3 linked regions of the Drosophila melanogaster genome follow. The protein of the gene in region 1 interacts with the protein of each later gene in a pairwise test. Each region holds a gene or a part of one and is shown on either strand. Other genes may lie near its edges. The genes, in order: Pka-C1, slo and smo.

Region 1 (10,877 bases):
GTGATAAGGAAAACCCGTTTCGTTTGCACTTGAGCAAAGGCTTTAATGAACCTTTTGTGTATTATCATAGAAAAATACACTAATCTCCAACACTGGAACTAATAAGTTAACACGTCTTTTCCAAACGTAACGAAAAGATATTTCAAATTAAAGAAAGCAACAATGTTGCTCAAGTGAAAAAAAATCACAATATGCTCTGGTATTTATTTATATAGTTTTGATTAGTTTGTCTTAGGAGGAAACTGTTCCCATTTGAGTCGAATGCACATTTAGAATAAAACAACTAGTGTACAAATAAACAAACAATCGGAATACGATACCAATAAAAGAAAATGAAAACAACTGCTTGGGTGGCTAAGATAATGGCGGGCAGCAAGTAAGATCGCCTGATCCCGATCGAGAACATATACTTTATGGGGTCGCCGCGAGCACAAAATGCCCTCGCATTCCACTAGAACGCGTTCTAGGGAAAGAGTAGCGAAAATACAACAGCGACTACAATTTTGAAAGCAACAACGACAACGAAAATAATTGCACAAATGAAACTGAGGGAGGGGGGAAAAAAAGACGCGAAAAAGCAAAAAATTAAAACGAGCACAACATGGCGAGCAAAACGAAGCTGCCGCCGACGTGTGCGTTATTTAAATGATTTTGCCAGTTTGCCTCGCTGTTGCTGTCTCAATTTAAATGTTTTTTATAGCCTGCATTCGGCGACTGCCACTCCTAACATTTTCAGAGATCCAAAAGGGGTTCCAAGGGGGGGTGGTGTTGCTAAAAAACCGACTGAGACCCGTTTGCCAAACTGAGACGGAAAATCCAAACCAAACCAAACCCAACCAAAAACGAAATGAAACGAAGCGAAAAAGTTAACAAAATCAACAAACACAATTAAGGCAAAGGCAGAAATCGTTTAATTTATTCTTCATGCGTATGAAAACGAAAATACAATTTGAGCTTTGCCTCTTTTTCGCTCTTTTTGCATATATTGCTCATACGACGCGTTGACTCAGTCAGATTGTAGTTGCTTACACGGATAAAAATACTTGAGAGCATGGAAAACTTCGATTGCACATATATAACTGTATGTTTATAATAAAGCAAATTAAAGTCATATTCACTATTCATATTATGAATCTTTTTTATTCAATTACTGAAAATATTTTGTAAATTTTTGCCAGTGAACTACATTTACTTCGGTGTCTCTCTCGTTTAAAAACGAAAATGGAATTGGTCACCAGGGGGAACCAGAACCATTTACCTTATTGAATTCTCGGAAAATTCCGGCTTTTCCCCCTCTCGGCGACTTAATTGTTTTCACTTCTCCACGACCATTGTCTGGGTATCTCTGTGTTTTTGTTACCATCACCATCGCCATCGCCATTTACTTGGCCGCAGTTGCAGCGCGTGCGTGCTGGCTAAAAAGCTCGATTTTGAGGGCACTGTTACAAGGCTGCCCGGCCTGGTCGTTATGTCTGAGATCTACCGCCCCCGTTCCGCCACGCCCCCGAGCGAACCTCCCCCTGTTAGCCCGAAATTGGCCAGACAACGTCTCAGATTCACAAGCGCGTTGGCAGTTGCATTCTGTGTTGTTTGGCTGACTGCTAAACTTGGCTTGGTCTAGGTGTTTATTGGAGCACAACGAATGCGTGTTGAATCCATGTTGCTTGATATCTGAGTGCTTGTGCCGCGACTTCTGAGAACAAGTTTGCTCAGCGACATCCAGCTGGGAGCTGAACTTTGGCTCTTAGCTTGCTCCAAATTAGAAGAGTGCCAGAAACGAGGGAAGTACTAACAGTACAATCAAGTTATTCAACTATGAGACTTTTAGCTTAGCTCTTTATTCACTTATATATCAAACAAATGTAAAATAAAGCGGAAATATATAATTATTAAAATTAAATGGTATAAAATTCACTGGAGCAGCAGAGCAGCATTAACTCGTTGCCAAAGAAAGAGTTTAATTGGCTTATCAGGGGAAATCGAATACTAGGGCGTGCCTCCCAATCACCCCACTCCCACCCAGCTGGTTTCTTCGCGTGATAACGCTTCCTCCACCGCCTTTGCATTGATAAGCAATCAGTAAAGCCGTCGAGTTAATGTAAATAAGTAAACCTAATGCCCGACACTTAGTACCCATGACTACGGGTCTAATTGACTTGGCCCAAAACCAAATGATTGATGGCCTTCTCAGGCAGCAAGCGACAGAAACAACCGAATGTTTATACATACATTTATACACATAATTGGTGCCAATAAAACTGTAGACAACACATGTCGCATGGAAATGCTTATATATGTACATCAGGGAATCGAAGGAGAAACCAAAAAAAAAAAAACCAATGTTCGGATGGACAACTCTTTTGGGGCTAGGCCAAAGGTCGAACAAGGTCACGGCCAACGATTACCGCATGAACATTGGCGTGAATATTTCGGATTTTTCCCCTTTGATCTGCAGTCAAGCTTTTCTCCCAGAATTAACAACTCTTGATTGCGTTTCTGTTTTTAGTTTTTCGCATTTCCCCACAATTTCTAAACTTTATGCGGCATTCGCACGCAGCTCTTGCTTTTGTTTTGCTCATGATGTTTGGACATAAAACTTATTATAATTTATTAATTACCAGCAGCGTTTGGCTTTGATAAAAGAAACACAATTTCGGTAATGGCCAACGGGCACGCAATCTAGCTGCTAGCTCTTTGTAGCTCCGCAAAGAAACGAGAAATAATTCATAAAATAAAAGATATACTTCTTTTACTGCCTTTTGCTTTGACATTATTCATGGCTTTCTCTCCCCTTTTTGTTGGCCTTTCAAATGGGTCAAGTGTGAATGACTATATTTCTGTGTGGAAATTGTGGGAGTCCCAGGAAATTAAAATGGAAAAGCATTTTGGTATTTAATTAAAGAAGATGTATCACAGAATGATTCGAAATATAAGTTAAATGGCTTTTTACTTTACTTCTGCTAAAGTGTAACTGAATACATTCCAGTTGAATTCAAATAATTATAGCTAGAAAGTTTCATGATTTACAACCCACCACCAACTTTTGTGTAAATTTACTTTAAGCACCGAGAATTCCTTTGAACGTAATTGGCTTGCATTGTTACTATCAGCTGTCTAGTTTGTCTGTTGTGGAGATTAGACCCGTCTGAACTATGCCCGGCTGCTACAGTTAACGTTTACGACCGCATTCTGACGCTTATTGCAATTAATGATTCGATGTTTACGGGTATAACTGCCCCGGGGGTCTGGCTGCAAATAAGTGAGTAAGTGGTCATGCTCGAATATCTTTTTGAGAAAACATCACGTAGGTTTTGGGTGCCGCAGGGTAACCATCCGCGTATCGCAATAAGCCAAGTCACCGACGGAAACTAATTAAAAGAATTCCGTGTACTGTCCCGGGCAGAACAATTGACGGACGAGCTGAAATGCCTTTTGTCTCATAATCAACTTTCTGGCACTCACTCACTTGCTCTCCCTAAAACAAGCAAAAACATTCCGCTGAAAGCAATCAATCAATCAAGCCACTCAAGTCCATCAATCTCCAGCTAAAGTCAAAACAAAAACAAACCTGCAATACCCTTGCCCTGAATACCCTTCGCTTTCGCCAGTGAATCGTTACCAAAGAAAGTAGGGAATACAGTCAATAGATTAATATCCCGTACAGCAAATATGGTGAGAAATAGAAATAGCCTTCTGTGTGCATTTGCAGATTGATATATGGCATAATAAATTAGGAACTCGCCTTTTCCCGTATATCTCTGTAAGTCAATAGTAATTCCTCTTCATAAACCATTCTAAAGGTAGGCAGTAGAACAATTATAATATGCACTTTCTAAATAAAATAAAGTATATAGTAATAGCCTAATGTTTATATTGTGGTTATTTACTAAAAATCTCAAGTCGTGTTATCAGTATGATTAGGCGTGAATAAGAATGTTGTTATTAGTAATAAATAAAGTGAATGAATTATGAAGTAAACAAATTTTGAAACCTAGACCTACGGTTCGGAATGTGAAATTGTATTTGTTTTTCTTTGCTGAGTAAACCAACTGAGTTTTCTAGGCTTGACTAAATTTCGCTGTTCAAAGGGTTCTAACTCACAATATATTTTTCAAAACCCTCAACATTTTTAAATTCAATTATTATATACTTACGCTGATGTAAATTGTTGTGTGTGGTGAGAAATCCAATGTTGGCAATAGTATGGATGTGGAGTATATACGGATAGATATTCAGACGAAGATGTGGCTGTAGTTTTTGTGTTGTGGGAGGGGCTGTTACAGTTGTTGTAGTTGTAAGTAGTAGACATATAGACAAGACGACGACAACGACGATGAGGACGTGGTCCGCGATGCCACGGCGGTGGCAACAGCAGGAGCAGTTGCAGATACAATCGCAGTAGCGGATACAATTGCAGTTGCAGGCGCCTGCAGAACGAGGGGATTGGGCTGACTGGCGAAGAGCTCCTCTAGAATTCAGCAAACTCCTTGGCACACTTCTCGGTGCTGGAGATCCGCAGCGCCTCCTCCTCGTAGTCATCGAAATTGCTCGTGTCGCCGGGACCCTTACACCGCGGAATGAACGGCGCCTCGATTTTCTTTTGGAAGATCGCAATCCAGTCGGTGGAGGCGAACCACTTCTGGTTCTTAATATCATTGACGCCCGCCTTCAGATTGCCGTAGCGCTTGGTCAGATCCACCTGCAGCAGGTTGCGCAGTAGGTCCTTCAGATCGGAGCCAAAGTGCGATGGGAAGCGCACCTTGCCGGAGACGATCTTCTCGTAGATCTGAATCGGCTGATCCGCAAAGAACGGCGGATAGCCGGCGGCCATTTCGTAGACGAGTACGCCCAACGCCCACCAGTCCACGGCCTTGTTATAGCCCTTGGACAGAATGATCTCCGGGGCCAGGTATTCGGGCGTGCCGCACAGTGTCCAGGTGCGTCCCTTGACCCGCTTGGCAAAACCGAAGTCCGTCACCTTGAGGTAGCCCTGCGAGTCAATCAGCAGATTCTCCGGCTTCAGATCACGGTAGATGAGGTCCAAGTAGTGCAGGTACTCGAAGGCCAGCACGATTTGCGCCGCGTAGAAGCGCGAGTGCGGCTCCGAGAAGCGGCCCACCTTGCGCAGGTGGGAGAACATCTCGCCACCGGGAACATACTCCAGCACCATGTAAAGGTTGGAGTTGTCCTTGAAGTGGTAGCGCAGCGAGACGAGGAAGGGGAACTGAATGGCCTGCAGGATTCGCTTCTCGTTCAGCGTGTGCTCCACCTGCTTCAGCTTGACCACCTTCTGCTTGTCGAGGATCTTCATGGCATAATAGTCTTTCGTGGGCTTGTGCTGGACGATCATGACACGGCCAAAGGAGCCGGTGCCCAGGGTCTTGATCCGTTCGAAGTCATCGAGGGCGGCGGTGTTGGTCGGATTGCGTCGCCACTTGTCCTCGAACTCCTCCTTGGCCTGCTCGAGGAACTCCTTCACCGTCTCGGCGGCATCGACCTTCTTATTCGACGTGGTGGCGTTGTTGCCCATCTTGGAGATGGTGCCCGTTAGCGATGACAAACGGAAGGTTGCGCTGGCCGACACTTGGGCCTGATCGTCGCCGGAGGTGCTAGGTCCTCCTCCCCCTCCTCCTGTTCCTCCGCTGGCTCCTCCTGAATCCGCCCCTGAACCGGGCGTGGTCGTGGCGGCAGGGGGCGTGCTCTTGTGGGCGGCGGCTGCTGACGAGGGGCCGCTGCTGCTGCTGCTAGCCTGGTCCGCTGGAGGTCCCGCTGCCGCTCCCGCTCCTCCCGCTGCCGCTCCGCCCTCCTCCTCGCAACTGGACTGCGCCTGTAGCTTGCCCTCGCCGGATGTGGAACTATGATGGGACTTTTTCTTTTTGAGGAACTGCAAAATGGACTTAGCTATTTTGCCGAGTTACGGGTCAACGGTGCGGATGAAATAGTTGCTCCTTATGGGCCAAAGAGAGCTTCTCACTGGAGCTCTCTCACTCTCTTATTCGCTGAATATCCTTTTAAATTGGTGTTTAGGTTGCGTTTTAAAGGCGCTTGGTTAAGACGCGTTTAAGTTATGGTTTTAGCACGTATTGGTTTCTTTAATTTGTGAGGTCTTAAACTAGTTATACACTTTAGGCTTAGACTAACATTTGGTTTCACACTTTAAGGTTGCTTATGATCGCGATTTACTCTAATTTGAGAAGCTGCAAAGAGAGACGGGAGAGAAAACGGCACAAATTAGCGGGATATTCGGTAAGGGGCTAAAAATAAGAGTCCAGTTTTCCGAGTTCTTTATGCACACATATAGATTATATTTTAAGTTTCTTATGTATTTTCGCTCTTTCGCATTTTTCACTTCATATTGTTTTTGTTCTCAGCGCTTTGCTGGCACTTTTATGGAGCTTAATAAAAAGCTGGTTATAATCACTGAATAAATAAGCTTAACAAAATCGCACACAAACTCGAAATTCAGAAAATAATAAAAAGAAGAGAACAGAGGAATGGCAAAGAGAGCGAGAGGAGGCGACTTTCGATCGTGTCAAGTGTCAAACAGCTGATGCCGTAGTGCCAGCTCACTCCCACTCACGCACTGTTACGCAGTGCTGCTTCCTTTTCCTCGCGCATTCCCTCTCATTTTCGCCTATTTTAATTATTAAATACTTTTTTGGCACCGTTTTGCTTTGGCTTCTGTTTTTTCATTTCCTTTGCTTTTGCTTCTTTGCGTTCACTGGTGTGCGTGTGTGTATGTGTGCGAGTTGATGTGCATATGTATGCGCTTCTGGTTTTACTTCTGCGATCTCTCTTCAGCGCTCTCTTCGCAGGCACTTTTCCACATTTCGCACACTTTAAATTAGTTAAATTGGCCTTTATTGCTCGGTGTGCTAAATTTTCGCCATTCGATTTGGGCATAAAAAAATCCCGTGGTTTAAACAAACACTATCGTACACGCATACACACTCAGCGCTCACCTAACACACACACACCAACATACACATACACAGATTGAATAATCGATTTTTTACATTCATTTCCTTTTTCTGAGTTTGTTTGACTTTGCTTTTCCATTTTCGCTGCGCGAAATTACCTTTTTGAAATTTACGACTACGATGCCAGCGATTTGTAAACACTTTCAGAAATATTGCCTCGACTTTCCGATCGATTTGATGCACTGTAGCTGTGGATTGATGGCTTAGATTAAAAATACCCGCATAGCCGCCGAACCGAGTTTTCCCGACCAAATCGTTCAAAGTTTTTTTTTCGACTGACGCGACTCGCGGATGCGCCCCAGCACGCAGGTGTGAGTAGGCCAGCGATAGGCAGCTCGCTCAGCGTGAACCGTGCGGCGCAATCATGAGTAATCCCTACTGCGCGGGTTCTATTCCGTCTGAAAATCTAAATGATCGGAAATAGCTAGCGGTTATCCAAAATTTTAATAAATAATTATAATAATATATAATTCGTAAGCTGTAAGGATTATTTTATTGTTATGTTTAAAGAGTTCTAAGCTGCATGAAAGATATAATTTTTAATAAAAATAGAGCACTTGTTTAATGAAACGTTGTATTATGAAGTAAGTTTAGATTCGATTTTACGAAATATTTTTAAATGGATTTCCTTTTTTATTTTATGAAATTCTATTTGGGAATTCCCTTAAATTATCAAAAGTATATTTAAGCTAGGGCTGCAGAGAACACAATTTCCGTTACGATTAGTATTGCCTAGATGGCAGTATGACCAGTCTTATTTGGTATTTCCGAACCACCTGCGAACGGTTTTCTAACGCTAACGCACGTGTTTGAAAGCGATTTCAATTGTTCTGCAATTGCCCTCAGTGAAGCAGCAAGCGGAGAGGTTGCATTTTAAAGCACTTTTTTCCAGTAAAAGTATACAATAAACAAGCCAATATGGTGAGTGCATCCACGTTAGCATCGAGAGATGTAAATTTCAACAAGTATCCCAATCTTTGCAGACTGAGGAAGTTAATCCCAAGGCATTCCCGCTGGCCGATGCCCAGCTTACCGCCAAGATCATGAACTTGCTGCAGCAAGCATTGAACTACAATCAACTGCGCAAGGGAGCCAACGAGGCCACCAAGACCCTCAATCGCGGACTGGCCGATATTGTGGTGCTGGCCGGTGATGCGGAGCCCATCGAGATTCTGCTCCATTTGCCGCTCCTGTGCGAGGACAAGAACGTGCCCTACGTCTTCGTTCGTTCCAAGCAGGCCTTGGGGCGTGCGTGCGGAGTTTCCCGGCCAATAGTCGCCTGCTCTGTGACCACCAACGAGGGCAGCCAGCTCAAGTCGCAGATCACCTCCATTCAGCAGGAGATCGAGCGACTGCTAGTCTAGTAACCCTTTAGATTTAAGTGAACATTCGTACAAAGTGGTAATTTCAAATTGAAATTTTGAATAAACATGTGTATTCTTTAATGCAATTGTTGTTTCCAACGCACATGGTTGGCTTGGAGTGCCCAATTTTTGGACACCGGATACCAATGCCGAAAAATACCAGAAAATACTAAACCAAAGGGGTCAGCTGGTATAGCCGGCAAAGTGCTGGCAAATAAATAAGCTAGTTTAATATAAGCTTATTTCATATAAATTATTGAACCAGACCAAAATGTACATGTGCATGTAGAATATTTATTTATAACTATAAGTTATTTATTCATAGAAATAGAAAAAAATCTGAATGGTAGCTTATGCAAACTACTTTAAGAAAGCCAATCCTGGCGGCAAAATAGCCAGTCGCACATCACCGTTCGCCCCTGGTGAATGTCACTTGGCCGCCGATTCTACTGACCACCACCATTGCCACACCATCCTGCCGATTCGATCAGCGGTGTGAACTTAGCAACTGCGTGAACCCAATGACAACGATGCACCGCCGCCTTTGTGAACGGAGGGAATTACTGGAATCTGGGTGCAAGTGACAAGCGGCTAGAGGAATCAAAGCACTCGGTATAAAGGCAGTGCCTGCCGACGAAACAAATACCAAATCCTGACCAGCAACGAGACGGGATGAAGCTGCTGGGCAAATACGTGGACAAGGGCATGCAGGGGTGAGTGAATATCCCCAGAGTCTTAAACTATTTTCGTTATGCCTCGAAAATTCTTTTAGAAATGTGACCCTGGTGCCGGAGGAGTCCGAGGATATGTGGCACGCCTACAATTTGATTGCGAAAGGCGACAGCGTGCGCAGCACCACTATTCGCAAGGTGCAGAATGAAACGGCTACTGGCTCCTCCACCAGCAGCCGGGTGCGCACCACACTAACCATCGCAGTGGAGAGCATAGATTTTGATACGCAGGCTTGTGTGCTCCGCCTTAAAGGCAGAAACATCGAGGAGAACCAGTATGTCAAGATGGGCGCCTATCACACCCTCGACCTGGAGCTGAATCGCAAGTTCGAGCTGCGTAAGCCGGAATGGGACACAATTGCCTTAGAGCGCATCGAAATGGCCTGCGATCCCACACAGTCTGCGGATGTAGCCGCCGTTGTGATGCAGGAGGGATTAGCACACGTCTGCCTGATCACCGCCAGTATGACCCTGGTGCGGAGCAAGATTGAGGTCTCCATACCGCGCAAGCGCAAGGGCAGTGTCCAGCAACACGAGAAGGGACTGGCCAAGTTCTACGAGCAGGTTATGCAGAGCATCCTGCGGCACGTCAACTTCGATGTGGTCAAGTGTGTGTTGATTGCGTCGCCGGGATTCGTGCGCGATCAGTTCTATGACTACATGTTCCAGCAGGCGGTCAAAATGGATTACAAGCTGCTGCTGGACAACAAGAGCAAGTTTATGCTGGTGCACGCATCCTCGGGATTTAAGCACTCCTTAAGAGGTGAGCCATTTACCCTTATGAAGAGATATGTTCTAAGTCAAATTCTTGCCTTCAGAAATTCTACAGGATCCCGCCGTGCTGGCCAAGATGTCTGACACCAAGGCAGCTGGCGAGGTCAAGGCCCTGGAACAATTCTACATGATGCTGCAATGTGAGCCCGCCAAGGCCTTCTATGGAAAGAAACATGTCCTCCAAGCCGCCGAGTCGCAGGCCATCGAAACGCTGCTGATCTCGGACAACCTCTTTAGGTGAGTTACACTTGGTTGAGCCAACGTATATATCTATGTATATTGAAGTAATTACTAGCTGGGCACACATTAAGCCCAATCAAGCGGGAGATCAAGAGCACGATCGCGAGTATAACTAGAAACCTTCAACTTGGCAAAATTGTGTGAGAGTGCTATGGCAATTGGTGTGCTTGTGTCGCCATATGGAACGCATGTCACCAGACTGCTTTGGGTGCCGGAAAGAATACAAATATTGGGGTAATTCAGAAAATCTGAAGAAGAGCAATCAATTTAATTACTGTATCGATTGTGCTTTAATTGATTTGCTATGCCTGCGACTGTGGTTTTCAATTTATTTATGTTTGTGTATAGAATTTATGTGTAGAATTTAGCTGAGAACGCGTTTGTTATTCTTTATTAAGAGAGAGTTTTTAACTTATTATACTACAACCTAATATATCGCAGTGATTTCACTCGTATGGCTTAGCACAGTATCTCCACAAGTGATAAGGTCTAGATTTGCTAGATCTGCCACTATGGACTTCCATAACCATTAGAAGATCGCAGATTCTTCCGCTGCGAATAGAGATCTGCTGCGATCGCACGCGTTTAGCCATTTAAAGAAAGCACGTTCGAGCATTAATTTGTTGGCCCCATAGCGACGTGCTCATGATCAAGGTTGCCCCAATGTCTCCTCACCATTTTTGGCTGCCAGCCTGTTTAGTTCTGTTCTGTTCTATTCACTACTCTTCTCCGCAATTTGTTTACACTTTAATGGGCCGATGAAATTCCATTCGAATATGTTTTTGTAT
Region 2 (9,146 bases), on another chromosome or scaffold:
CCGGCTCCTTGCGGCAGCAAACGAATGCGAAGGCTCGCCATAGCAGCACCACGAGCAGGCCAGCAAGGAATGTAAAGATGCTGGACAGCAGAAAGCACCAGTACTTGCGCACCTTGAGACAATCATCGGCGTCGAATGGTGAATCTGTTGGATCGTCGGCCAATGATTCGACAGTGCTTTGATCACACCCCGACATCCCCTGCAATCACAATATTCGAATTCGAAAAGCGTTAGCAATTAGTTCGGTTGCAATGGTCTAGCAATTAGCTAACTATAATTAGCATAAATCAATACGATAACTGGCGGAAACATTGTTTACGTCATACACTTGACATTTGAAATCGGCGAAATGCCTTCTATATATGAAGACACTCGGTCGCAATCCAATCGTACACATATATGTATATACTATACTATACTCTTCTCAACTTGGCGACGCTGGCGAATGTAAACAAAATTTGTGCCTGGCCAAGGGTGCGCATAAATGAAATGAGTTCATGAATAAATGTCTCTAGTTTGCTTAGCCGAAAAGAGTATTCATTTGTGCACACAACAAAAAGAAGGCGAAAAATAATGTCATTTTACATTTTTATGAAATATGCAGTTTCAGTTGGTTGGTTACTTTATAAATCTAACTTATGTGACACAAAATATTTTTTATATATAGTGCTTTGTGGATTACTTAAATTTAATATGTGGCTTAAAAAAAAAACAACCACATGTTATGACTTTTTTATGACTTTTTCTTATTTTAATTACATAAATAAATTGTAATGAAAAAGTTCTCTCTGTGCATAGGGTATATAGTGTGTTCTATGTACAATCCTTACATTTGCCAATGTGCTGCTGAAATTGGTGTCGATCAAACCGCTTGCCATTTTGGCTGTTTACATTGCGACACTCGAACACACAAACGCTGTCAAATTAATATTGCCACTATATTCGTATTCGAATGGCGTTCAAGTGCAGTCGAGTGCCAGGCTACTAGAGTGCCAGAGAATAGAAGACGCTGGGAAATCCGAAAGATACGAATGATCCACCAAAGATCTCGGAACACCAAAGGCCTCAGCCTCACAATGCGAAACGGAACGAAAACTTGGCCCGTCTATTATAAATAGCATCAAACAAATCTGTTATTTTTAAAGTGATCTTTTTCTCCGACACACGCACGGCGACAAAAGTGCTCATAACACTGGGCAAAGGCCGACTACACAGCACCGATCTTACGATCCATACAACCAAATACCATAACTACATATATACATATACTACAATCTGGTTAGGATTGTGGTTATGGCCTGCATTCATTAGGGATTCACTGGGTATTCACAACTTGCGGCCAGAGGCCAACGCACTCATTCGGTGAATCACTGCACATACGCATGTGAATTTGCAATTTGTACGAATTTTGGGGGTGTAGACGGAGCCACAGATATACGTATAGTATATGCCGTATATATTATTATATATATATATATATATGGCGGATGTCGCACACACGACGCGGCACGCACGCGATTTTAGTCTAGAGTCTAGAATCGAGCTGAATCAAAAGGAGGCACCGAGCGAACCGCACAACTGGCGTCCACCAACTGAACGAGCCGTTTTCCAATTGCCCCAGTGCCATCGGGACGGTTTCAACGATTACAAAGAGCCCGCTCCTATCTATCTATATCCCCTTGGAGGCTACAGCTCTCCATCCCTCTCTCTTTCTGGCTCACCCACTCTCCGGCCATCTCTCTCGCTCTCCGGCGGATTGTATGACTATACGGGCATTTGGCTATATGGCTGACCGCGAAAAGTGTCAGTACGGGCGACAAACTTGAATTTAATTAAAAGGCAGAGCGCCAAGACAAGGCGAATTCAATTGGGTATTGGAATAAAGAGGATATACCCTAACTGTTGTGTTACAACGAATTCGAAGGACCTTTGTAGTTTTGGACACTCGAATCCTAAAGAATTCGAAGGATTACTGAATAAATAGTGAAGAGTAACTTTTTATTTACAATATTTGCTTGTCCTTTAATCTTAAGTTAGCCCAGTAAAATGTTCTATCAAGCGGTACATATAATAATTTCTAGTTCCGCTTATAATCTAACGATATTTTTAATTTGTTTTGTACAATTTCATGTTTGAATGTTTAATAGAAAAAGTTCGATTGATGCAAATATTGGTGGAACCCTTGGCAAGGGCAGCCAGCAAGTGTGTTGTGTGTGTGCGTGTGTGTTGGCCACAATGAATTATTGTTACAAGAAGAAGAGACAACGGCAGGCCGAGTATAAATAAATAAATTATGAGTTCGCTTCTATTCGCTTTTTCATTTTGGTTTTGTCTCTTGTTTTGTGCTCTGCGCCTATACACACACTTTTTGCATTCCTTCTTCGGTGACCCCATGGCCCCCCGGGCAACACTCGTTCCCAAAAAGTGGCTGGTGGATCCAGTGGATGGGTGTATAGGTGGGCGGGAGGCAGGTTAACGTGAACGTTAACGTTACTGCCATTGCTTCAGTTAACTCGGGCGAGTCACGCCATGCCGCCAGTTAGCTGTCGTTTCATAATTTACGCGCTTTGTTTGCTATTTCCTGCGGGGGCAGCCGTGGTAACAAGTTGGCCCAGTTTGTTTGCACATGCCACTGCCGCTACTTTCCACTACTTTCCACTACTGCCCCACTGGCCATAATTGCTCATCATCCCTTAGCCCTCGCATCCCTGCATTGCTATCCCTTCCCATCATCATCATGCTCATCATAAGCCAGTGGCGTGCATTTTATTTATAGTTTTTATTTCAGTATCGTTGTTTTTTTTTCACTGCTCTCTATTTTTTTGCGATGCTTGGGCGGTTAGGTTCTTCGCTTCATTGCATTTACGCAATTATAAATAGCGAAGAAGAGCAAAATTGTTATTCAATTAAATATTTGATGACTATTTTTAAGCAGCATTCACCTTGAATTTAAGCATTGCGTATACGTAATATTTACGAAACTCAACATTTGAGCTAAGGATAAAAGGTTTCTAAATTGCATTAATGTTTTGTAATGAGGTTTATAATAAGTTATTAATTTTAAAGTTAAAACACAATGTTTTTTTTAAGCCGAAATGGGTTACTCTTTAACCTTTTTGTTAAACTTGAGGCCTTTGTAAATACTATTATTTTTAACTCAATTAAATGCACACAACTGGGTGTTAATTTGTAATTCGCAAAGCAAACACACTCACAAAATTGGATTGAATTTAGAAGTGGTATCAAGTTTCCTTTAAATAAGCACATTCAAACGTTTTTTTTTTTTTTTTTTGAAAATTTCAGTTGCTTGCCTTTTTTTTTAGTGTTTGGATTAACTTCCGAGCACTTTCATCGATCCAAGCGAAACTGCAGTGGCCGGCGTTGAATAAATTATTTATAACATGAGAAGCACTGGTCGCTCTATATTCTTTGGCCCAAATGGAGAATGCTTTTTTCGGTCAAAACGCCTTAACGGGCTCAGAGATACTGCGCCAAGTCGATGGAATTGGTGGCGCCTTATGAGTGCGGGTGGAAAAGATAGGGAACGATATAAATTATACCACCAGGCCGATTTCCCTGTCATTTTGCGGCCAGAAACGGATGAAGTCACACGGCTACCGGTGGCTAGATAATAATTTTCATTGCGAACTATCGATTTTGGGGGGCGTGGGCGAGCCCCTGACCAGCTAGCTCTATATATCTTGACGCATGTCCGTCAAAGCGAAACGCTCGAAAGGCACAAAGACGGCGACAACTGACGAAGCTGACAAATACCCTTCGACTTTCTGAGCAATTTATGGCCAGCACTTGGCCCGCTGATTGGGTCCGTTGATTGCCGGCCACTGGTCTCCCCAATCCCCCATGTCTTTTCGCTTTCCCATCGGACATTGGACATTGGCCAAGGCCAAAGGGCTTAGGCTGCACTTGGTCGGTGTGTGTGTTTGCACTGGGTTCTTTGTGTGCCACATTCACAAAGGTCACGCGACCCACTGCGAATGGGTTGCCAAAGTGATGTGAATCCCATTTATTAAATGGAGCGAAACGAATTCAAAGCAGGAAGCGAAATATACGATCGCATAATTAAGATTAGATTGTGGTATTGGGTTTCTTAAATTAAAGTGAGCTTAGCATAAACTATTCTTGAAGAAATGGAAAAAGCGTTTGTACCTAGTAAATAAACTGAGCCATTTAACTTACTAAGTACTGATAAGATTATGTACATTATATATATTTACAACAAATTTTACAAATATCTCTCGATTACATTATCGTTTTACACCAAGTTGTACACTTAATTAACAGAAATAAGGCTTACATTTTAATGATATATATAATATAATGAGCTCGCTCCTTTGGATTCAAAACAAAGTGATAAGCTATTGGATTAAAGATCACTGCCTTTTATATGTTCGAAGTAGAGCAAAATGTGATAAGAGTAGCAGCGTCTAGCACTGCGAACTATCGCTGGAAAAATGACTGATTGATTGATGATTGATTGATTGACGAGCTGGAGAGATAGGTTAATCCCAGTAGTCCGTATACAGATCATTGCAGAGCCGCTAACGTGACTTCTACAATTTCAGATGGTCTTTCACAAGCGAGGCGTACGAATATGTATCTGTGGATTTATCACGTACGACATCAAGGGCTTTACCTTTGGCGTGATGGGCGGATAGAACGGTGGCAGTTCGTGGCAATTGGGGCACCAGCTGGCCATGTTCGTTCCGGTTTCGGTCCGGGCGGACCGCTTGCTGATGTGGTGTTGATGGTCTTTCTGGATTTCGAAGTGGATCTTGCGGCTGCTACGGCTTTCCCCTCGCTATCCGTTCTCATATTCGGGTTTCTATGCGGCACAGTGTATGGATGTTGTGGTGGTGGTGCAATCGAATTGGGATTTGGAACAGTGTTTTTTGGGCGAATGGATGAAGGACTGGGAGTACTCACCTAGTACTGGCTAAACCACCGAGGCAGGGCTCCAGGGCTGCCAACATTCACACGCTCAAATCGCACATCAATGTGTTTGGACGATTTGTGGTCGCTGCGGCTCGCCAATGTTGCACGTGGAAATTCTTGGGCTGGCTGGCTGGATTTTCCTCACTGGCTGATGGATTGCGGCTTGCTGATTATTTCATAATTGCATTTCGGATCCGTGGATGAGTTTCATTGTGTTATCAGCTGCGTTAAGCTTATCAGTTTCATTGTGCGTTTTGGTTTGTTTGCTTCTTTCTTTGCCGTCTTGATCAATAGTTGTTCGTTCTTTTGAATTTGAATTGGAATTTGGTTAAATTAGAAACTGCGCTTAGTCACACTGCTCATGTTTCCTTTCACAACTTATTTAGCTTTGTTTGCCCACGAAATTTTTCCTTGTGTGTTAAGCTGCAAGAGATTTATTAAGTTGAGCGATAATTTAAATACTTTTTAATTTGCCAAGGCAGCGCGACGAACGCGGTAATTAATTATATTTTTTAGTTAGGCTGTCAGCGTTATTTGCGTTTTTAATTTTTTTACGACCGCAGACATTTGTCAATGATATTACGTATATATTTGTATTCGTATATATATTCTATTAAATTAATATTATTTTAGACATTGTATCACCATTTTCCGTAGCCGGAAAAGCAAGCGTGTCAAGTAAATAAATAAATAAAGATGCGAAGCAGACTTGAAAGCAAAATCAGCACTATTCTCGCCGTTTTTAAATTCTCAGTTCTCGGAGAATTCTCTGAGAATTTCTCTCAATTTCTCACAATTGCTGCTGGCGTATTGGCGGCTGCGCGATGCAGGGAATCCGAAAATTGTCGGGCAGAAAGCTTTTTCCTTGCCTGCGAAAGTCGCACATTTTGGTTAAGCATACGCAATGTGGTACCAAAAACTAGAATTTTTGGCAATATACAACATGCTTTACAATTATCACTTTCGTTTGCATGTTATTTGTATATGATACATTTAATGTCAAACTTGTCATTGGTAACTTTTTAAGTTATTCATTTCCTGCCCGATTAGCGAGGCTTTGCTGTCCTGCGGACGGACTCGTTCTTTCGCCTGCGGCATGTCGTTGAAACGGAAACACACTGCCCTAGTTTTTAGTTCCCCTTCGTGTCACACACACACACTCGCACACCCGCAGGACACACACTTTCATGCGCTTAACGAGCTGCCTAATGTGCCTGCAAACAATGGAAACGGGACAAATGCCGAGTCAAATGAAAGTTGCATTTTCATAATAAATAAGCAGGCGACACAATTTCCCACGGCACGCCAACGGGCGGAAAATACAGGGGGCTTGGAAAATGGGCATTCGTGAGCCAATGTAAACAGAGCTTAGTCCTTCGTCCTGGCCGCGCATTGAACTCGCCTGGATTTGGTGGCTTCATTTGTAGGTATCTGGGTATCTGCGTATCCTGGCGCACGCACACACACACCCACGCTCGGCCAGTGACTGACTGACACACATATACCAAGGTATCCTGCGACACACGAAGGACGACGAGTAGGAAGCAACAAAAATAACATTGACGATGACAGCAGCGGCAAAGGCAGGGGAACGATACAAGTGTATCTCCGGCCTGGAACATCGACTTTATCATCGGGTCGGGTCCCTTCGTCCTTTCGTTTTGGGGAACTTGTGGTGTGCTCGTTTTAAAAACGAACGAAAAACTGTGCCGTATGCGCATGTGTGTGTGTCCGTGTGTGTTGACTTCAACAAATGTATCTTTTAAATGAAAACCTGCAGCAGTGCCAAAAAAAAAAGCGAAAAACTGTATTTCTAAAGAGTTTTCCTTTAGTGTTGCTCGTTGGTCCACTTCTTAGCTCCTTTATGTATGCAACACTTTTTTCGCAATCACAATCGCCGTTTTATGGGCGAACACACACACACACACTCGGTCACTAATTAATTGAATTTCCTGCGTTGTAAGTGTGTGTGTGGCACATTTTCACGTTCACTGAGCCCGTTTTCAACGGATACCGAATTTTGCACAATTGCCGTTCCGCAAATGGCCACGATAATTGCCCGGATTTTAAGACGTTTTTTGCTCAATTTTCCCCGTAATTGGCAAACGCAGCTTGAAAATTTTTCACATTTCCAAGTGCTGCAGCTGTGTGTGTGTGTATGGGTCCCGTGAATATACATATACGCGATAGGCACTTTTCCACACAGTCCACTCACTCACACACCCAGAATAAAAGACGCGACGCGCTCAAACGCGAGGACCAACCTTTCTCGTCAGCAGCGTATACAATTCTGCGCGATGTCGACTCCGACGACATGGAAATCGGTGGCCCAATGTACTTCCGCACGGCCCAAGCTCGTCTTTGGGAGCTTTTCGGAGTCCTGCGGTTGGTGCGGGCTGGACGCTTCGTTCGATTCATCAAAACTGGCGCCAAAACCCATTCACTATGAATGACCCAGTGCCGCGGTGATGGTGATGATGATGGTAATGGTGCCGATGCAGGTGCAAGTGAACTTCCGCACGATGCACACGTGGCGTATGAGGAATGTCGGAAGAAATTCATTGCATACTTTTGGGACGGGTGCACAAATGCATGTTAAATGAGATAAAATAATGGCAAATAAAAGTACTATGCATTTGTATTCTTGTATCAATGCTTAAATTAAGTATTATCAATTGCACTATATTTTATTTAACTTTACATAATTTAACAATAAATATTCTAAAACCATTGTTTCGATTATAAGATATTATGTTAGCTGTAGTTACCAAAATAAGTATAACAATAAATGCTATTTATTTTATAAAATATTTATCCCTTCCTTTATTTGATTTTATTTTCTGCAGAATTGTCAATTCAAAACTCTTCAATCGCATATAACATCGATTGCAAGCTCAGCGATTTTGGATTTGAGCTTATCGATAGCTTCAACGATAGTTATGTCACCTGGGTTTATTTTGGTCTGAACGATCGAAGCCGGCATAGATTTTTTCGTCTGCAAACCAGAACTAGTCTGAATCCTCTAAGGGATTCGGGAGCAACGAGAAGCAGCAGAAGGACCATGACGACGGCCGTGCTGGGAGGCGGATTGAGTGGACTATCCGCCGGATACTACCTGTTGCGGCGATTCGGGAAGCCGCTGACCATCTACGAGGCCTCGCCCCGTGTGGGCGGATGGGTGCGGTCGGAGAATCGCAAGGATCGCAACTTCATCTTCGAGAGCGGACCGCGAACCATACGCCCAGTTGGTGAGCCAGGTGCCAATACGCTAGAATTGGTGGAGGATCTGAAGCTGGAGGTGACTCCCATTCGACGCAGTCATGTCGCAGCACGCAACCGAATGCTGTATGCCAAGGGACAGCTCTGCATGCTGCCCAACAGTCCCAAGGGTCTCTTCGGCGTCCTGCCTCCCTTCACGAAGCCGCTATACAAAGCGGTTCTTCGCGATCTGTTCACAGCAAGCAAGAAAGCGAAGCTGGAGGATGAGAGCATCTACAGTTTCGCTGAGCGGCGGTTTGGTAAGGAGATAGCCGACTACGCCATCAGTCCCATGATCTGCGGTATTTGCGCCGGTGACGCGCGAGAAATAAGTGTGCGCTTCCTGATGGAGGGGCTCTTTGAAAAGGAACAGAAGTACGGAGGAGTGCTCAAGGGCACACTCATTTCCCGCTTTGAGAAGAACAAGACCAAGGACACCAAGGATGGACTATTTGCCGAAAGACAGCCCAAGCTGTATGCGCAGGCGGTAAAGGAGAAGTGGGCCATGTACGGGCTGAAAGGCGGTCTGGAGAACCTACCCAAAACTATGCGAAAGTACTTAGGTGAGCGGGATGTGAACGTGCAGCTAAGCAACGAATGCCGGAACCTGACCTTCAGCAGCTCCGGGGTTCGAATGAACATCAAGGATGCCGAAGTTCCGGTGGAGCATGTGGTCAGCTCCCTGCCCGCCTACAAACTCGCGCCCCTGGTAAAGCAGCAGCATCCCTCGCTGAGCGCCCAACTTTTGAGCATTCCGTACGTGGATGTGCTGGTAGTGAACATGCAGTTCCCCGGCAAGCTACTCAAACAAGACGGCTTTGGATTGCTAGTGCCGCCAGTGGAAAAGTTACCTCTGCTCGGCGTCATCTTCGACAGCTGCTGCTTCGACATGGGCGAGAACACTGTGCTTACCGTGATGATGGGTGGCCATTGGT
Region 3 (11,330 bases), 9.4 Mb from region 1:
CTGATAATATCTTCGCTCGACTCTTTCAGCTGGCTCAACCACGTCCTGCACACCAACATAGTGGTTTTCATCATCCTGGAGCTGTTCATCTCGTACAGGTCGTACCCAAAACGAAGCCAAGGACTCGCAGGACTGGCCATTTTCATGGGCGCCTACCTGGTTTGGATTCACGTGGTGAAGCACTACTCGGGTGTGTGGGTGTATCCAGTGCTCGAGGTTCTCCAGCTTCCGCAACGCATCCTGTTTTTTGCGGCCGTCGTTGGATTCACGCTGTCACTTTACCTGCTGGGCGAGTTCCTCAACAATACCGTCTGGGCCAAGGAAGTGAAGTTGGCCAAGCGCAAATCCAACTAGGAGGCTGTGACCCGTTTCTGTTCGATGTAGTTGCGTTAATTAGCCACAAAATACAAATAGTGATTGACAGGTCTCGATTATACATTTTGCTCATATTGTTCGATCTTCTCAGCCAAAGAAATTTTTCATAAGTATGTAAAATCGTACTGCAAAGTTAACTGAAGAAGGCGTACAAAATATGTGAGAAATAATAAACGAAACTTGAAACATCAACTCGATAATATATTTTCCAGTAATATTGAATTCGGAGTCTTTAATCATAATATGGAAACCCGTTTGCTAATGATATTCATTATATTTTTATTACGCATACATTGTAACTGAAATTATAGCCGTAGTTTCCATTGAGCGCGCGCGTCTTTCGATAAGTTTACTAGACTAACCAAAATACAAAAATGCCTTCTCGATTAAACTTCTCATATCAAGCACACTGATTCAACGCCATCTTTGAATACCACTGTTATTCAATTCTAGTACCATAATAAAGCGATTAAACTCTTCATCAGCTGCGAAAACTGTTTTAAGGTGGGAAGCTTGGAATAAACTGCTTTTCAAGATCAGAGAAACGTCAAGTGGCGCTATCATATCGATTTGGCTTTAAAAAGCTAGTTCTAGCTTAAAAACGCCTCCTTGCTGGAATGAAACTCGACGTGTGTTGCGCCCTAATCAGCTGTTGGCTAGCTTTATTTGTTTTGTTTTGCTCAGCGTGCGGTGCCCTTTGCACCTTTTCTGGAGGAAATGGGCAAGAGCAAGAAGCAGGTGCGCGAGTTCAACGCCGCCAAGGAAGCTGTCGAGGCCACTAAAGCCCAGTTGAACACTTGCAACGATGCCTATACGAGCGGTGCCTTCAAATACCTGAGATTCCTGGTCCATCTCCTGGCGGCAGCGCAGTTTTCGTATGGGATATACTTTCACTACTTCCGGGTGCATTGGCCCACGGATTTGCTAGACGAGGATGAACTGAAGGCGCGGTGGGGCGGCAAGTTCAAGTACCTTACCTTCTTGGACGTCATTCTACAGGCCATCTACCACTCATTGGCTCTGCTGAACGATCTCTTCGGCGATAACAATGTCTCCGGGGATTCAAAATCCATGTTGCGATCGGTGAGGGACTATGTGTTCGCCGCCTTTGCCTTTCCTGTCGCCCACAATGTCTGCCTCTCGTTTTGGGTCATCTACGTGTGGGACCGTGAGCTCATCTTTCCCTCAGCGCTGGATGCGATTTTCCCCAGGCAAGTGTTTATGTTTTTCCGCCGGTTTAACTTGCGTACAATGCACAATGTTAGTCTGCTGGAGTCTCTTTTGTTTCGAGCCTGTCTAAACTTTCTGTTCATCAGGCGAGGCGAGTTTTGATTTACCTGTGTTTCTCAATATTTGCAGCTGGTTGAATCACGTGGTACACACGAATGTGGCCCTTTTGGCCATTATGGACCTGTTTACCTGCTTCCGCCGCTATCCGAGTCGATTGGCAGGCATCACGGGCAACGTCTCCTTCATCCTGCTTTACATCATCTGGCTGCACATTGTTCGCTACTTCAGTGGCGAGTGGGTGTATCCCATTCTGGAAGTGCTGCCCGCATACCTGCGCTACGTGTTCTTGGCACTACTTGTGGGGTTCAACCTGGTTTGCTATCTGCTCGGGGAGTTCGCCAACAACGTCGTTTGGGGTCCGGAGTTTAAGCTCCTAAATCAACAGAAATTAAAGCAAGGCTAGGACTCGAGGATTTAAAATCGTTTATTAGTTACACAAATTATTATGTATAATTTTGTAAACTTGAAGGCACTTTCTGAGGTACGATTTGTGTGCCCAAGAGGCTTATTTATATCGTACTTAAATCTATAATCTACAATCTAAAGTCCTGTACCCACGGCAAAGAAAAATAATGAAAATAAATTATTATCCTCTTTGGCATTTACTTTGGCGTGAGTACCAGGATTAAGGAAACAGTCATTCACAAACGTACACAGAGATTCGAATGCTTACAAGCTAGATGGGGTGATGAATCTGTAAAATAAAGTTGCAGCCTAATGACTATGAGTATTCGTAATTCGTAGTTCTAGTTTCGCTCAGTCTGTTCCAGTAATCGATTAAGAAGAATCTAAATGTTCATCGCATGTAAACTGCTCTGGCTTGTGTACTACAATTTCGTATTTGTTTGTTTTAAATATCATTTGGGTTTCCAATTCTAGTGAAGCGATATATTCTTATAAATCGTTGAACAGTGAACATAACAATATTACGATTTCGTAAAATAGATAAGATTGTACGATTATTTTCAGCGCTAACAATTTGATTTCTTAGAACAAAAACTACAATATTGTAAGAGTTTTTGAACCTTAAGTAAATGCATCAATTGCTTATTTAGTCTTGCTATTTTGAAGGCAGCAATAACATTTTGAGTTTGTCCGACTCGCTCATAAACGTGGGCTCCCTTTGATGCCGATGGGAATGACCCAACAAGCCCTGCAGCTCCGTTCCTCCGAAATCCTCATTGGCTGCTTCAGTTCTTTGTCTGCTGGCTGCGTTTAGGAGTCGCATGGCCTGCTGCAGTTCGTCTTCTCCGTAACTGGGAACTAGCTCGAAAGGATTAGCCTGTATGCCCACATCGCAGCTGGTTTTGCTGTTTCTACTATGTGGTTTGCCCATGGATATTCCAGAAAAAGAGCTGTTAAGAAGGCTTCCTACGTCCAAAGCCACATCCAGCTCTTCAGAGGAGCAGCTAAGTGAGTCATTAGACCGATACTTTACACAGTCCTTCCTGAAATCTAGATCAGCAGCAGGGTTCTTGAGATGTCTCTTTTGGGACTTTTTTGACTGACTTCTTGCGGAATTTCGGGAATGTCGGTTAGAATTGGATTCATTAGATTTTTTTATGTTTTTAAGAAAGTTCTCCAATGCCACCTGTTTGCTATTTGGCAGTTCTTCAATCTTTATTCCGTCGTGATCATCCTCACTTATTTCCTGCTGCTTTACAACCACGTTAAGATCCTGAATCTTTTGGGATGCTCTGGAATTATCCTCCTCCGAACTAGAGCTCATATCTTGATTTTGGAGGAATGGGAATATAAAATCGCCATTTTTCTGCAGGAATTCATTAAGAATAGAGGGATCCAATCCGGCATTAGCAGTCCTTCGCTTCATGGAGCTGGTGTAATTGTGTTGTTTCTTGGAGCTGTGATGAGCAAACACGCCCACTTTGTGACTAGCATTGGGATAGGTCGTTTTCTTGAGCGCGATGACCTGCGACTCCACTGAAGTACTGCTTTCCCTTCTCCTACTGCTTTTTCCAGTGGCAGCTGCTATATAATCCCTTCTCCTTTGGGTTCTTCTGTTGCTGGAAGAGCCTCCGTGTTTTCCCCTTGATCTGGACGCCACTTTGGTCTTCATTTCAGCTATTTTCACTGATACCTGCGAGTCCACCGAATTTCTGCGGGATTCAACGGAAACATGTCGAACACTCACACTTATCTCGGAATCCAATGAATTTTTTCGCGGTCCATGGCTTGACGAGTTACCTGTCGCTGCTCCCGTCAAAGCCATGCGACGTTTTACGCACTGCGGGAGGTATGCAGCCCAAGTTGATGAGATGTCATTCGTCTCAGAAGAGTTCAGATCGTTCACATCGAAGTTGAGCCCCACGGGATCTGTGTGGGTGTTGTAGAGCGTTATGGAGAGCCTGCCCTTGTCCTCGAAATCCTTGCGCTTGGCCCATGTCTGGGCAATGACCTTGTGCTTCGGCATTTTCACTTCTTCGACCACCTCTTTGCCACACTTTCTGCAAAGGTTATAAAATCGATAGTACAGATAACTTTAATGCAACTTTTGGTAGGATGGTAAAACATACTTCCTTATATAACGCTTCCAAGTCTCAATTGAAGAAGGTGTCCAGCACCAGGTGGACATTACGATTCCAGAGCTAAATAGACACAGCAAATGCAATTGAAGAACGCCAACACTAGGTCGGTTTTCAATTCGACAGGAACTCTTTTCTTCAAAAACTGAAGAAATTTTGCAGCTAAACAAAAGAATTATCTAGTTGAGGCGTATGGAAAAAGTTATAAACGAGTATTTACACTTACATTATAAACTGTCTGAAGCTCTGGGCCCATTCGTCTGCATGCCTAAACTCCGTAACGTGGCACGCAATGGCCACTAGTATGAAAACTAAAGTGAGCAGAGCACAGACTCCCATGCGCATGATGATCAAATGGATTTTGTTGCTCGCCGAAGTTGATTTAATGTCATTAGCGAAGTGTTTCAGTCCAAAAAGCATCACCATGCCGCGGGTGATGAAGTATCCACCAATGAGGATGACCCCGCAGAGCGGACCAAGAAGTAGTCCTGCCCTCATAGAATGATTGATATAGCCTACGAAGCAGATGCCCACAATACTATTTCCATCCACCTCACTGAAAGCCATCGTGGTAATGGTAAGCACAAGGGGTAGTGACCACGCCACGAGGTGAAAGTAGGAACCTTTCTTATCTATCCGATCTTGGACGTGGCCCATGGCCCTCCAATGCCAGGCGTAGGTGAGGAACACAAACCAAACCATTCCAGCGGTGAGAAAATAATAGACCAGCACAAAGATCACTATGCAAGAAAGATTTTCACCGGCTGTAGGCTCTGAGTGGCGAAGTGTTCCATCCTTACGACATACTATGTCCTCTCGCGAGCCAGAAGTAAACTGAAGCAACCAGCTGCATAGTAAATACGTGGTTGATTAAGAATACAAATGCAAAATAGTGCTCAAAACTTACCCGACGCAAGCAATTAGAAAGCAAAGATTTATGTAGAACACAATTACTGCCGGATACTTGTTGGCATTCTTCCAGTCGATGAAGAAGGTGGACACCACGAAAAGGTTAGACAGAAGACATATGCTGCCAGCCCATCCGATCAGTTTGTGGATCTGCCGATGCTCATCATCGGTATAGAGTGGATCCTTGCATCGCACGCCGCAGCCCTCGATGCCAGGATAATAGCTGGCTGACGTATCTGTCGGAACCAAAGGACTTAAACACTGGCCAGTTCCGTTGAATTTCATTCCTCGTGCTCCGTTTGTGCATTTCGTCGGAAAGAGTGTTTCGTTGCAGCGAAGGAATTTTGGGAAAAACGTCGTGTTGTACAAAATGCGACAGGGTTCCATGGTAATTCGGCACATCTCGTAAGATGGCAGGTAGACCATGTCCTCGCCGTTGATTTTTTCACACTTCGGCTTAAAGACGGCGCACAAAAAGGGCTATAAACATGTAAAAATGGGTGTGTTGAGCTAATCCGGAATATTGAAGAAATGGATTTGAAATACTATAATATCTACAGAAAACCTTGAGCCACAACTGAATATGTATATATATCTGAATCTTCCCAAGATAAAGCAATTCACATATTACTTTCACTGCTTGAACACAAAGCGTAATTAAGTAATCACAGTTGTGCGCTTAACTTGTTTCTAATGCACCTCCTTATCAGAAAATAATGCGACAATCTGTATTTTCATACAGACTCGGCCCCACCTTTTGAAATCATTAGGTACATTAGATGTTATTAAGATTCCTCACCTGTATAGCTGCCCAACATTTGGGCACGTGCTTCAGGGCATAGTAGTCGTTCAGCTTATCGTTCAGCTCCTTTTCGGTGTGGAAGTCGGTGAGATCTAGGCTGCTCAGCTCATAGGGCAATTTTGAGCCGAAACAGGTGTTGGTTGCGTTCGAGGTGGGGTAGCAACGGGCACGTCGGACACACTGGATGTGCCTGCTGTCTAGGCCATCAAACCAGGGTTTGTCGTCCCTGCCCTTCTTGGCGTACAGTCGGTAATTGAGAGTCCCATTGATGGGCTCCAGTTCCACATCCGACTGCTGCGCACTTGCGGGCGTTGTGCTGCCGAACTTGGCCGAACTGGCCGATGCGTCTGCGACCACCCACAGGCATAAGATCGCAACCTCCAGGAACATCCTGCGGTTTGTAAATAACCAAGTTATTTTAATTGCCCACACCATTTGCCAGAGGCGAGTCACTCACATAATGTTTGGCATGCGCGGAAAGTTTAAGTACTGCATCCGCTTATAAAAATCATTAAATAGCTGCCTTGTGTGAATTTTAATGGGCTGAATGCCCGTTTCTTGCTCAGCGGTTCGTCAGTGCATCGTGAAGGCGCTTTCGTTGGACTCGGGATATCCTGGTTTAATTGTTCCCTTTGAAGGATTGCAGTGTTTTTAAAAAAGAGAAAAAAAAAACAAGAACCAAGGAGGAAAACAAAAATAAACGCGACTCAACGTGAAGCTGAAGCAACAAATGTGCGACCATTCAGGGCCAGTTTAAATATACCCATGTTATCGGTCAGCGAGATTTGCATGTTATCGGTCGGCATCGGTTATTATCGGTCATAGCTGCAACAAGTCGAATGATATGCAAACAAATCGGATTTATTTTGTTCGATCGTAACATAAGATAACATCAACATAAAATAAGAAATATGATCATATGTAGAAATGCATCAGCAAACGAAAAAGGTGTTCCCCGCAACATTTTGACTATATGGCAATGCTGGCCGCTGGCTTATTTATTTATGCCATGCGCTCGACGGTCACACTGGGTGCGGAGTATCGATAACACCGCGATAGTAGCGCACCAAGCATCGATGTAGTTTTTACATCCCTATTCTGCAATATTATTTCACGGCACGGTCCAAAAACACGGATAACAGGGCTTGGTTGGAGTCGCGCAAACGCAAATAGAAGCCATGGACGTTGCCCCCGCACCGCCCGCCAGTTCCGGCGGCGATCATAGCACCCAGCAGGCGCCGATCAGTCCGAATCAAAATGCAAACCAAGCGCCGGTCGCACTCGCAAAGGCAACAACAATCGAAAATGGTGTACAAACAGGAGGAGCGAAAAAGCCAGAGAGCTGCGGTGAGAAAGCCCCCGGTTAGCAAACTTGCTCGAAGCTAGTCTAGTTTCCTGGTTAACGTTTACCTTTTAGCCGTAGAGCCGACACATTCCACTGATGCTAGCCAGAAGGACGACGACGAGGGCAAGCCGAAGACCGAGCTGGCTGACAAAGTATTGATTACCATATGCAGCGCCGATCGCAAGATCAAGAAGACCTTCATGTCGTTGCCCACTCGAAAGGATGTAATCGACAAAGGTAAGGAACGTCCGACGAATTGGGTATCTATTCATCCAGTATTCCGAATGAACGTTGCCCAGTTGGAAGTTATTAACCAGTAGACAGTCTTTAATAAGAATCTATTGGGTTTAAGCTTAGAGCATTTCTGCATTTAAAAATATAAATTTGATCAATGGGTGATATATTTATCTAGGATAGAAATTAAATAATTGTACATATTTTATTTAATTTATATCAATAATATATTTGTATTCGGTAGCTCACAAATACGGCCTGTGCGGCAACACAATTGTCCTGGAGAGCAACGGCTGCGAGATCTGCGAGGACGACGTGCTCTTGTTCGCTGCCAAGGAGAAGATTCTGTTGATGCTCCTCGCCGAGTCGGAGGAGTATGTGGTGCTTCCTCCGCCATCGCCCCTCAACCGATCCGAACGCGCCGGCAGCTCGGTGGATCCCAGCTTCTATGCCAACAACAGTATTGTGTCGAACCCGAACGATTCGACGGTCTCTAATGACGAAACCATGTCACTGTCCAGCGTAACGCCATCAAGTGCAAAGAGTTCTGCTCTATTCAAGGAGTTCTCGATACCCTGGAGCAAGGTGCCTGGGGACATAATGAAACTACTAAAGGGAAAGGGGAGTTTGGGCAAGCGGTTGAATACACTTGCGAATGTTTTGGTGGAGGCTCTCCGTGAAATATCCGCCCACATTCCCATACGGATTTTCCGGCAGGTCGCCCAACAGGCGGCTGAAAAGTACCCCGACTCCTTACTCGAAAAAGACCGCGAGGGACAGTTTATAGCCACCACTCCGCAATCGCTCATATCCAAGATGATCAACCGTAACAATGCCCTAAACAAACCCCAGAAACGCGGCAGCTCGGGAACCTTTGAGATCCACATCCCTAATAAAAAACGAAAATTCGGAGGTGGTGCTTCCAATGGTGATGCAAAATCGCTGGCTCTTAACAGGGATCTGGAGCACAAAAAGGAGTTACTAATCTCCAGCTACCGAGGCAGTTCCCCACTGGAACAGTCCGTCATAATCGAATATATGAAAGAGTGCTTTCCGTTGCAGCGCTCCTTTTTTAATAACAGCGAAAAGATCCCAGATATAACGGCCATTAAGGACAATTGGCCATATATTTTTGACAAGGCTGTGCTGTACCAGCACTTTGAGCTGCTTATGTCCATCGATCCCCGGGCTCTAGAGAAGCGCTTGGCTACCGAAAAGGATCGCTTTTTCAGGTTCTTTAAGAGTTCAAAGAACAAGAAGATCAGCTCTTTGGACGAGACCAACGCTAATTTCCTGCGTGGCATAGCGTACTATTTTAATGAGGATCCCGACTACATTTTCAAGCACCTCGAGAACAGTTCCCTTAGCAAGGAATCACTGCAAAGCACGAATCCCACAAACGCCCCCTGGGTGGCTCTAGTCAGTAAGTACACAAAAATTAATATCACTAAAAGTGTTTAAATACTTTTAAAATATTTATCTTCCCACAGATTCACCCATAACAACGGCCGACGGCGTGGAATCGCAAATGGAGGCGAAGGTCTACATTGAAGGCCAGATAATGGCCACATTCGCCGCCAAAGACGAAGACCTGCCGGACATTCTGGCCCAGTTAATCTGCTACTACTATACCTTTAACATGATGTACCCTAAGGAAGCCAATCAAACACTCGAATTTATCGTCGTTTACTTTCTGCAGCACTCGCCGGAACAAGTGCGATCGGCCAAAAAGTCTGTGACCACCAACGGCAAGTTTAACCACCTCATCGCCAAGCTTGCCAATGTACATGGCTGAGATTTCATTTGGACGATTTTTGGCTGGAACCATGGCGCAGCGAGCGCCACTTCAATCTCCTCTTGCTCCTCCCAACGGAGGAGGAGCCGAACTCTGTTTAGTTTATTTATTTTCGCCGACCTATTCCACATGTATTTGTACCACTATTTTTAAGATTTGCATAAAGTGTGTAGTAATGTTGTGTATACATTTCTGATTTGTCACCCGACAAAGAATCTTTTATTTATTTTTTAATTGAAACTTCATGTTTTGCCAGTTGGGGTTGTGAAGTCACCTAAGGGAAAATAAGCTAAACTTATTCATTATGTGGCCCTTTCTGAAACGGATTTCTCCTATTTGGTCCCTTCTTTCGATAAGGATGTGCATTATCTCGCATTTTCTGAAAGGGATGGCTACCCTTTGCTTCTTTCGCATTTGATGATTTCACATTTCGACGTGTATGATTCGAACGTTCTAATTCGAACTTGTCCTTTGTCAGCTGTCTATATTTCAAGTCCTTTAGGGCAGATTTAAGTGTTGCATTCTTTTTCGTTAAATTGAAACCCAAAGTGAGTTGCTTTCGGAAAAAGTTCCGCTCCTTAAAAGTGAAGTTCTCAACGTCCGTGGAGAGCTGTTGTTTTCTTTCCGTGGAGGGCTTCTCATCGTTGAAGGGCTCCCATGTAGTATCCTGCGACCGGTTGGCTTCTATGACATTTCGACGGTGGTTCTTCTGACGCTGCTGCATGAACTGCCTTGCGTCCTCGCTGTCCACATCCTGGTGTCCCCGGTCCGAAGAATCCGTAATTATGTCGTTCTTCACATGCTGCCAGGGCGTCGCAGTAGCTTGTGGAACGAGCGCTGGTTTCGGTTGGACATACTTCTTTGGCTTGAACTTGGTTTTGCCCCAGTCCTTGGTGCGGCTCTGCAATTGACGTTCATGGCGATCATTATCTTCTGTTTTCTTCGGATTGGTAGAATTCATAGCGTTGTTATTTGTGGTTAAACTGAATATCGTCCATCTGACCATCTGAGGTGCCAGTTTGAGAAACTATCGAATCTAGCTATATATGTTAAATCTTATAAAAACCTTCCATTGGTCACTTCACATTTTAGTCCATTACATGTATTATGTCACATATTGTCACAGTATTATATATATATATTATATTATATATAAGGTATTCAAACTTAATATACATATAATGAATAGCAGTTTTGGCTTGAAAGAAGCCACTTCGGCAGTCCCACCAACAATCGGATCTTATCGATAACCCCAATCGGCTCAACACGTGCGCCGCAACTAGGCGGTTTTATAAATATTAACAATTCCATAATGCACAACAGTGGAGGACAATCCGGCTGGAACCTTTCAGGAGAGGAAAGAAAACCGTTTTCGAATTACGGCCGCAACAATCAGCAGAGGCGCAGCAGTGGAGGCGGGGGAAGAGGCAGCCACAGCCAAAATCGCGCCGCCAATGGAAACTGGCCAGACGCTGGATCGGAAGGTGGGCAGAATGGAAACGCGTTTAACAAGTTCAGAGATCCCCAACAGGAGCTGGATAATCATCAGCCAAACAAGAGAGGGGGCCGAAGAAATAGAGGCGGTGGCGGAGGAGGTGGTGGTTGGGGTGGCAGGCGAGGGAACCGCGGCAGAGATTCCAATAGGCGTGGTGGCCGTAACAACTCGTGGCAACCTAAGGATCAGCATGTTAGTCCTGGCCAAAGTAACATGCTGTACTTCGATAATGTGGGGGACTTTACCGAAGACCCACCTCTGCCTCGATCCTCGCCTGCTCCCTCCTCTCTCAGACAGGAGAGCCTGCCACCTGTTACTTTCGCTGCGGACTTGACGCCACCACCACCTGTATCTGTTGCACCACCTGATGTGGCTGTTACGCCAGAAGAACCTACTGTGCCGCTAATCAATATCAAGAAGGAGAAAGAAATGGAGCACAAGTCAAAAATAAAGCAATTTGTCAAAGCGGAGCCCAAATCTCCTAAAAAGAAGAAGGTTAACTCCTCTAGGTCGTCATCTACTTCGGGAGAGGAGTCTGAACC

Evidence for each region.
Region 2: the proteins of Pka-C1 (region 1) and slo interact in binary tests that used the Drosophila melanogaster proteins (3 or more experiments, as listed by UniProt).
Region 3: the proteins of Pka-C1 (region 1) and smo interact in a protein complementation assay, tested with the Drosophila melanogaster proteins (one study listed by BioGRID).

What each region holds. Positions count from the first base shown.
Region 1 is NT_033779.5:9,692,037-9,702,913, forward strand, and holds the start of Pka-C1 (protein kinase, cAMP-dependent, catalytic subunit 1), read right to left. Parts: upstream 7,262-10,877; 5' UTR 7,079-7,261; exon of another isoform or gene 6,666-7,078; intron 6,396-6,665; 5' UTR 5,531-6,395; coding exon 4,469-5,530; 3' UTR 4,155-4,468; intron 1-4,154. Other genes in the region: hoip (hoi-polloi), read left to right, coding at 7,899-7,901, 7,964-8,344; pelo (pelota), read left to right, coding at 9,017-9,057, 9,117-9,838, 9,894-10,086. UniProt on the Drosophila melanogaster protein: Serine/threonine-protein kinase involved in memory formation. Promotes long-term memory by phosphorylating meng and by regulating CrebB protein stability and activity.
Region 2 is NT_033777.3:24,660,594-24,669,739, reverse strand, and holds the start of slo (slowpoke), read right to left. Parts: upstream 7,250-9,146; 5' UTR 7,177-7,249; intron 5,377-7,176; 5' UTR 4,945-5,376; intron 4,844-4,944; 5' UTR 4,655-4,843; exon of another isoform or gene 4,316-4,654; intron 1,595-4,315; exon of another isoform or gene 879-1,594; coding exon of another isoform or gene 831-878; intron 200-830; coding exon of another isoform or gene 197-199; coding exon 1-196. Other genes in the region: Ppox (protoporphyrinogen oxidase), read left to right, coding at 8,015-9,146. UniProt on the Drosophila melanogaster protein: Potassium channel activated by both membrane depolarization or increase in cytosolic Ca(2+) that mediates export of K(+). Its activation dampens the excitatory events that elevate the cytosolic Ca(2+) concentration and/or depolarize the cell membrane.
Region 3 is NT_033779.5:272,910-284,239, reverse strand, and holds smo (smoothened), read right to left. Parts: upstream 6,659-11,330; 5' UTR 6,415-6,658; coding exon 6,377-6,414; exon of another isoform or gene 6,311-6,376; coding exon 5,917-6,310; intron 5,598-5,916; coding exon 5,116-5,597; intron 5,056-5,115; coding exon 4,435-5,055; intron 4,371-4,434; coding exon 4,200-4,370; intron 4,131-4,199; coding exon 2,726-4,130; 3' UTR 2,073-2,725; downstream 1-2,072. Other genes in the region: CG3625 (uncharacterized protein), read left to right, coding at 30-354; CG11601 (uncharacterized protein), read left to right, coding at 1,093-1,586, 1,735-2,068; CG17078 (uncharacterized protein), read left to right, coding at 7,098-7,281, 7,337-7,501, 7,743-8,921, 8,989-9,293; CG11555 (uncharacterized protein), read right to left, coding at 9,589-10,254; mbm (mushroom body miniature), read left to right, coding at 10,606-11,330. UniProt on the Drosophila melanogaster protein: Segment polarity protein required for correct patterning of every segment. G protein-coupled receptor which associates with the patched protein (ptc) to transduce the hedgehog (hh) signal through the activation of an inhibitory G-protein.